Linked DNA regions of Bombyx mori. The protein of the gene in region 2 purifies or fractionates together with the protein of the main gene of each other region. This does not show direct contact. Links are inferred from orthologs where the notes say so. Each region holds a gene or a part of one and is shown on either strand. Other genes may lie near its edges.

Region 1 (4,566 bases), on a different chromosome or scaffold from region 2:
GGTTTATCTTCGAGATCTATTTCCAAATTTTTTCATACTCACCTGTTTTTTGGAAGCAAACTGTATTTTTGGGAAATTCATGAGCTTCTGTTTTATTATCATATTCATTTTGAGTTTCATTAATTATTTCCAGATCCAACAGTTGTTCTGCTAAAAAATCTTCTTTTTCATTGTCATCTTCTTCAGAGTTTTTAGAAAATAAATATTTAAATAATGTAGACATGTATGAAAACATTTTTCTTTTACTTCAACAATAACTATTTAATGAAAATTAAATTGATGGCAGCGAGTTTTTATTGCGCAAATCCTTTATCATATTCAAATTCCCATTCTGTTGACTTAATATATTCAAGTTCCTTTCTCAAAGTCTGTATTCTTTTTTGATGCATTTCTTTCTTTTCACAGTGTTTAGATTGCTCTATGCTGTGACCAAGGTGGACATGGTTTAATGATTGATCAAAATTTGGTATTCTGTTTTGTGTTGTTACCTATAACACGAGTTTTTTATTTATTATTAAGGAAAAAAAATATTTCTAGGATTGGAAGCATCAATAAGATATTTTATAATTTTTAACGACATCACTACAATAATTTCATTATCAATAAATAGCATACATACTTGCGGAGTTTCTGCTTCAGATGAGGAATAGGTAGATTGTGAAAGATTGCTAGATGTAGACATTACTAGTACAAAATACTACAAATCCTTTCCTCATAAATTCGCGTATTATGTGTATTAATACCTATCTATGTTAATCGCTACATAAAAGGAACCAACCGTATATTTAAACCTCTTTACAACACAAACGAATTTTAACTTTTGTACTAATTTGTACTTACAATACTTTTTTTATTATTATTTTAAGAGATTTTATGACCTGGTAACTAAGACCTTTAAGCCTTGACTTATTTAATTTTCATTGTTATTTATTTATATTTTTATGAAAAATGAAATGTGCAATAACTGTGGTTTATTAACTGTTTAGTATCTGTGAAAGTGCATAAATGTAGGAAAATGAAACAAAGCCGCTGAACGTAACTTCTGATAGGGTGGATGGACTAGCGGCTATAGCAATTAATTAAAACGTAAATTAAATACTTGAAAACATTGTGTTGACTTGTATAAGAGAAAATTTAATTCAGAATGACACCGCACATCAAAAGTAAAAGGAACATAATACAAATTCAAATATAATGCATCATAGACAATTATACGTGGACAGCATCACAACCTTCCAACAACTTCTCGTTATCTTCCAAAAAGTCCACTGAAAAAGTCTCAGTAAATGACCACCATTTTACTGAGTTTATACTTCATCCCATATCATCTCATCTCATTTCATTTTTTTCGTTTTCATTACATTTCATGCTATGTTTCATAATAATCAACTTCATTTCATTTCATAATATCATTTTCATATAAAAAGGTACGTATCATTAAAATTAAAAATAAGACTTGACCTAAAGGTCTTAGTTACGAGGTCATAAATTCGCCTAAAAAAAATTCTTTCTCTGATATGGTAGCGTTAAAGTTTAAACGTTTAACGCAACCTTGTTGAAAATCGCATTAGAAGTTTCACTTCAAAAATGCTATCTTTTCGAATCTGCACACTACTGCCACAATCTACATTTACGTGATAAAAAAGCCCGATTTTATAAATCAACCATGGAGTTAATAAGTACCTACAACACTAACTCTATGAAATCAACATTAGTAACTATTTATTAATAATCTGTGATCAACATTCCAACAGCTGTCAGTGCTGTCACCGTACACCAATCACTAATAAAACCGCGTTTCCGATCACAAGAATGAAATTATAGAAAAATATTGTCCAAATAATAAGTGTTAATAACTATGAATATTGCTGTACGGGCTATATTTCTTTTGACTGCCTAAATAGACAAAACAAAAGTATTATTTATTAGTCATTACATATATATGTACTATGAATTGTTAATGTTATAATATCTCAAAGCTGTAATTTAGTGAAAAAGATGTCATTGAAAAAGTACTTGAAAACAATGAAGGATGATGAAGATAATTTGGATATAGTATCACCGTGCTTCAAAATAAGTCCTGATGTGCAATTAAAAGAGGTTCCAACGAACGGTGAAGAATATTTACTTAAAGTCATAAAGGAGCGTAAAAACATTGCAGCAGTTACGAAATGCAACAAAGATTATTCAAAGTTTGCCGAAAATCAGTCTCAGTATGTGCATGAGGTCAGTGAAGTTCTGAAAAATGATTTTAAAAATGATTGATTAACAAAATTTACATTCATGTAACCATGATGCCAATGATTTTGAAACGAATTTCTGGTGTAATATCTGCATCTGATGTAACTATGGAAAAGGTTGGGTACATTTCCGCATTGTTCTAAATATCTGCACCAGTAGCTAAAGTTGTAAAACATTTTTAAAATCATTATCTGCATCAATCTAATTTTAATGTTTAGGTCACCTTTTTTCACCAAACCGAGTTTGATTTCAACTATCAAACCTGGTTCTATATGATATAATTAAAATAATAAATTTGTATTAATTAATTTTCAATACACAGAGTTAAGCTCACTTAACTGTGCAAAATGCAGCTGAGATGTCATTTTATACATAATTTTCATTATTGGCACTGATAAGAATAATTAAAGATTTTTAATGTGTACTAAATCAAGAATAATTAATTAATTGATGTCCCTTTTTTATGTTTATTAATATGACTGTACTAATCTTATTCATTCAGGCATAGTAGGTAGTACTAAAAATATATTTGTAAATTATAATTCAAAACATTCACAATAGTAATTTGTAAAATATAAGTAAAACAATAAATACACTGATATTTTATCTTAATAGATTCATACCTTGGGACATATTCATAAATGATTCATTCCTGATGCCCGAATACAGTCTTAAGATGTCTACACAAAATGTCTAAAATGTCTGCAAGATGTCTACACAAAAAATGGGCTACACAAAATTATTCAATGATCATGACCATAAAAGTCATTTTGTAAAAATAAAAAAGTTAATAATCAGCTCACAAAATTGTATATCCTGTTATTAATTTATGATCTGCACTATTCGTAGAAAGCAAACTGCAATTACAGCAGAATTAATTTATAGTTATTAGTCACTGATGGTTTTTGATGGGTGGTCTCAAGATCATTCGTTAAATCTGTGAAATAATACATAACAGATTTTAAGAATATAGTTTTAATAATTTGGTGGCTTAGTAATGTTATTGTAATTTGAATAGATGTCTAATGGAAATGTCTTTTTAGTTCCCGAGGCTATCAGTACCTGAGAAGTTAAAACCTACAATTGAGTGGCAAAACATGCAAGTAGCAGATTTCTCAGAAACTCGAATGTACATATCTCGTTTGCTGTCAAAAAGGAAAATATGGAAAAACAATATTAATATTATAGAAATAAAACCAACCTGTGTAATTGAATGGAAACAGTTCTTCAGTACCCATATTCCAACATTATCATGCGTGCTCGGATTACAACATGCATTACTAGACCAAGGTTTAGAAGTACTTACTGATATTATTAGTAGAACGAAACCTGGTAATACTATAGAACATAAAACAGGTAAGTCATTACTTTACACTGTACATGTTCAGAAGATGATTAAGAGCCGTTAATTAAATTTAAATGGATTTGAACTTCTTCATGTCATTCTCAATAACAAAGTTTGTGGATTTTATATTGAAGTTTTCTCTATCATCTTCCTATTGATTAAGTACAGCTCTTTTGTAAAGAGAAAACTTAACCTGTTTTGTTACTCTCAGCAAACCAAATTATTCATACAGCATACATTCTGCCACTATTCTTTATGTGTTCCATAATTTTGATTCGATCATAGCATTTTGTCTTTACTTTAACTTTATACAAAATTATACAAGATTTTGTAACAACAAGTGAGCTTTATATGAAGAGAATAAAATCAAGATAATAGTAAATTTGTAATTGGGGTAAGGATGATTAGTGAACGCTTTGTAAGGAAATCACATATCAGCTCTCCCAAAAATCCACTTTTAAAGCAGAGATTTCGTAACCACCCAACCTACCTGTCAAATTAATATATATCAATTTTTAAACTTATTTATAGAATACATTGTGTTTTACAAACCATTTTTTTTTAGTACAAATTGTTCAGATGCATACAGAAGAAGTTTTTATTGGGTGGCCTTTTCATTTTCAGGTCAATGGGTATATGCGTTTTTGGCCTGTACCCAACTACCTCTATTGTCTGATACAACAAGTATTCTAAGAAATTTAGCTCGAAAGTGTGCTGAAATAAGGTAAATATAATAACACCTATTGTTATTTACAGCAGGTGACCACAGCTGAATCATAAACAAATGTAACAAAGATTGTGAAAAGTGGCAGTGTGAAATTTTTCAATTATTTAACAAGGGCTTTTACTACCTATACAGGGTAGCTGGTAAGATCCGGGTGAGAGAAGCCTACAATCATGCTGTGGTGTGCAATTGGATAGGCCTATGTCCAGCAGTAAACTGCTATAGGTTGATGATGATGACAAGAAATTTGATTTTT
Region 2 (3,836 bases):
TAACATTCATTATAAATATTAGGACAATTGCAAAGTCTTCTTATGTTGTCTCCCAGAAACTTATCCATTAATGCATCATTGTACGATGTATAATAGTATGAGTATTACATAGTTACACTGAGATATGTATGTCTGAGGATGTTAAAAGCATGAAAAATAGCACGATACTTTAAAAAATACAGAAGCTTAAAAAGAATTTCATATTTTTATAAATTATAAATATAAGACAGTTTTAGTTAGTGCTCAGTAAAAGATCTTGGCTTAATTCCAGTCATAATTCATTTAAATATTCATTTTAAACCAGTGTTCAATTTACATAGTACGGATTTCAATTCATTGGGAATAAGCAAGACCTGAGCTTGTTTTGGATTATTCTAAGTGATGAAACTGTATTCTAATATGGAAAAGTGCTTGTAATTAACTACTTAAATAAAAAGTCAAAAGTTAATTTTTTACGTAGTTTTGGAGGCATTCCGAATTTACTTCCTACTTTTTAAACAACTTCAAATAAAAATAAGGTGGAGATACTCAATTTCTGCTGTAGGATTTTTTGCATCAATGTTGTATGATTCCTTTTTCCAACAAAACAGATTATATCTATTTTGGCTTTGCTTGAATTTGACTCCTGTGTGCTTAGTGCGAGTTTTTTAACGTTCTCGATATCGTAAAAGTTAACTCAAATTTGAATGCAGTTGGAACAGCACCCCTAGCGCCAAACGTAGGCAAACGTTCCAACTCCATACAAATTTGAGTTAACTTTAGCTTTAACTTTACACTTAAACGTTAAAAAACTCGCACTAAGCACACTGCTTAGAAACCGACTTAGTTTGGATAAGATTTGTTAAGTATATTCGAACCTAAAAATATTTTATCACGAATAATTAAGAGCGCCCTCCTGGTTAGGATAAAGAAAACTTGAATATTCGCTTAATGGTCATACGCTTTTTCAGGCATTTGGTATAATGTGCGGCCTAGAGCGTACAGCCCTAGCAACATTGGCGCTGTCATCGTTACCGGCGGAGATTGCTCGAGACATGCGCGACAACCCTAGGGCCGTCAGCCGTCTCTCTCACTCCGCTCTGCTACTCTCCATGGTTCTATCTATGGGAGACAAACTTCCGGTCACACATTTCGAGCAGCTCGGCCTTGAATTTGCACAATTTTTGCTGGAGTTGCTTGAAGATCCACCGGAAACCGATGTCGATGAACAGATACCTGATTTGTTTTCAACTCTCCTTTTGGCCTACAACTTGCAGTTTGAGAACCCATTCGACAACATATTGTTGAATGCATTGGAAACAAGGGACATGGCCAAAACATTCTGTGAGAAAGTGCTCTTGTTACTCAATCGTGAAGGTAAAGTGGCTTAATTCAATATAAAACAAAAAGATACAGATGAATTATGTATGTGTATAAAAAGAATTAATCTCATTCTGCATAATAGGGTATACTTTGTTAATCATATTGTTACGCGCTGGGGTTCGGGATAAATAAAACTTCCACCGAAGTACAAATTAAAACTCTATTAAACACTTAGACTTCTTCCGCTTCGCTTCAGGTGATCTGTTCGCTGTTTCGCTTCGAGTAGATCCGATTACTAACTGCCTTCGTGCAAGCAAGCAAGCAAGAGGGGTCGTTGTACCCGTTGTACGGGGGCACGGCGTGCTGCCTTCGTGTCATTTCTGCAATGCTTTTATAGTCGATACGACATCCCTAGAATCATAGATTATACACTTAATATATTAGAGATAGATGCGCAACTCTCATTTTTATTTTTGCTTTAGTTAAAGCCCGGTCCAGCAGGCGTCGCTACGGTCGATTATTAGTCTCCCTACCCCCCACCAGGTGGCTTTTTTAGTAATTTTAATATTTTTAATAACTCTCTTTATGAAAAAATCTTATCGTTTAGAATCGCTGAAATTCCCGGTAGTACTTATGAGATATTAAGGAATGTTTGATTGTGTTCAGCATTCTAATCGATAAGATCTTTTCATACAGAGAGAAAACAGTTTTTTAAAATAAAAAGCTGTAATTCTCTGTAAGCTATTTAATTTCCCTATATTACAAACAATTTTCTGTTAAAAGATTGTATGAACGTACAATTGTATAAAATTTCGAATAACAATAACTCCTCTAGATTAATCCTACTAGCGTACACATTAAATCGAAAGTTATCTAAAAGTTAATTAAGTCTAGATAATCAAATCATTCAATGTCAATTAAGTCATTTGTGCGAAATATAAACATGTCAGCTTTCCATTACAAACATAGTAGACAATTTGAATTAAATTTAATAAATTTGTTTCTTAACGATAGCAGTTCTTGCTTAAAGTTGATCGTGACAGATCATGACCTTGTATGAAAATATTACATTTATAAACACTACCTATGCTTCGTCATACAATAATTGTCATTTAAACTAGCATTGTAGAGATAATACACACACTAAAGTGAATACTAAATTATTCTTAGCATTCTTATAAACATTTAGAAATTTAAGAAACGATTAACCCACTATCATGTTCATAACATGTGACATTTTATTCTGCACAAACGTTTTGTTACATGATTTGAAAAACAAAAAAAAAAAAACAAAAAATGTTTAAAAAATGTAATGATGATTTAAAGTACTCTTAAATATTGATAGTTTGTACTTAATGACGCTTATAGTAATCTTAGACATGATTACATTAGTTATACTTTTATTCCCTATCTAAATTATTTCTATTCTGACGTTTCTGATGCTTTAGCTTTGGTAATACTAGATGAAACAAACAGCAGATTGAAAGAAAATCATCTTAAAGTTAATTACATTCATTACAAACCATTAGTTTGCATTTTGTTACAAAAGAAACTGATGTTCGTTACATGCAAATGAATTATAAACATACACATGCAAACATAAAATGTAAATTTATCTTTTAATCCAAATTAAATGTACATTAATATTACATCTAAATAATAGAAAGGGTTTCGAAAATTTTTATTGCACTCAACAGCAGACGAGCACGCAACCCGGCTCATGATAAGTGGTCACCAGTGCTTATAAACTTCAGCAGTGCCATAGGGGTTGCTGTCTATCACTTAAGTTTTAATAAATTATTAATATACTCAGTCACAAGCATATTGATTTCACATAATGAAAATGTAAGAAACATAATCATGTTTGGGCATTTTCATTTATATCTGCTCATACAGAAAACACAACTTAGCAAATATATTCCACAGTTAATCTAAATAATTGCAAATAATGCTTTTGAAGACCGTTGACTTTTGATCATTAATTAAAATCATCTTCTCGTAGAATTTACAAAAGGTTATTTACAAAAATTTATATCAGTATTTTCATATATTACTAACTTACTAATTACAACTATTCAAACGTAATACTATAACTATAAGAACTAAACAACCTATTTTAAAACAAAATTGGCATCAATTTAGTTCTTATGAAGTATTTCAATTATTAATTTATAAATTATAAACATATTTAAAAAAAATTAAGATCCTTGAGAGTTCACGTTCCTTGCTGAATCAGTTTCTCTTCTGAAACGGAGAAACAAAGTATCTTAAGTATGTAACAAATATTGAAAAATTTAGTGTTAATGTAATCATACTTACAAATTAATATATTACATAACACGTTCTGGTTCAAATATAGTGCATCAATCTTTTCATGTTTCAGACATTTTAGTGCTCCTTATAATTTTTCCATAAAATTTTGTCATTATCAAACCTTTGTCTACAAAAATAAAAACATTATTTTATATTGGGTAGAAGGATGAACGTGGTCACAGGCCACTTGGCGTAACTTGGTTATCAAACACCAGGAAACA

The links.
Region 1: the proteins of NCK-interacting protein with SH3 domain (region 2) and gem-associated protein 2 purify together in Homo sapiens (co-immunoprecipitation; 3 studies listed by BioGRID and IntAct, counting the BioPlex papers as one, with this or other methods). This does not show direct contact. The link is inferred for Bombyx mori from reciprocal best matches to the Homo sapiens genes NCKIPSD and GEMIN2.

What each region holds. Positions count from the first base shown.
Region 1 is NC_085111.1:13,069,204-13,073,769, forward strand, and holds the start of gem-associated protein 2, read left to right. Parts: upstream 1-1,749; 5' UTR 1,750-1,998; coding exon 1,999-2,226; intron 2,227-3,284; coding exon 3,285-3,597; intron 3,598-4,210; coding exon 4,211-4,310; intron 4,311-4,566. Other genes in the region: probable RNA helicase armi, read right to left, coding at 43-235. UniProt on the Homo sapiens protein: The SMN complex catalyzes the assembly of small nuclear ribonucleoproteins (snRNPs), the building blocks of the spliceosome, and thereby plays an important role in the splicing of cellular pre-mRNAs.
Region 2 is NC_085116.1:6,564,125-6,567,960, reverse strand, and holds part of NCK-interacting protein with SH3 domain, read left to right. Parts: intron 1-950; coding exon 951-1,356; intron 1,357-1,558; coding exon of another isoform or gene 1,559-1,725; exon of another isoform or gene 1,726-1,784; coding exon of another isoform or gene 1,785-1,858; exon of another isoform or gene 1,859-3,546; intron 3,547-3,621; exon of another isoform or gene 3,622-3,836. UniProt on the Homo sapiens protein: Has an important role in stress fiber formation induced by active diaphanous protein homolog 1 (DRF1). Induces microspike formation, in vivo. In vitro, stimulates N-WASP-induced ARP2/3 complex activation in the absence of CDC42.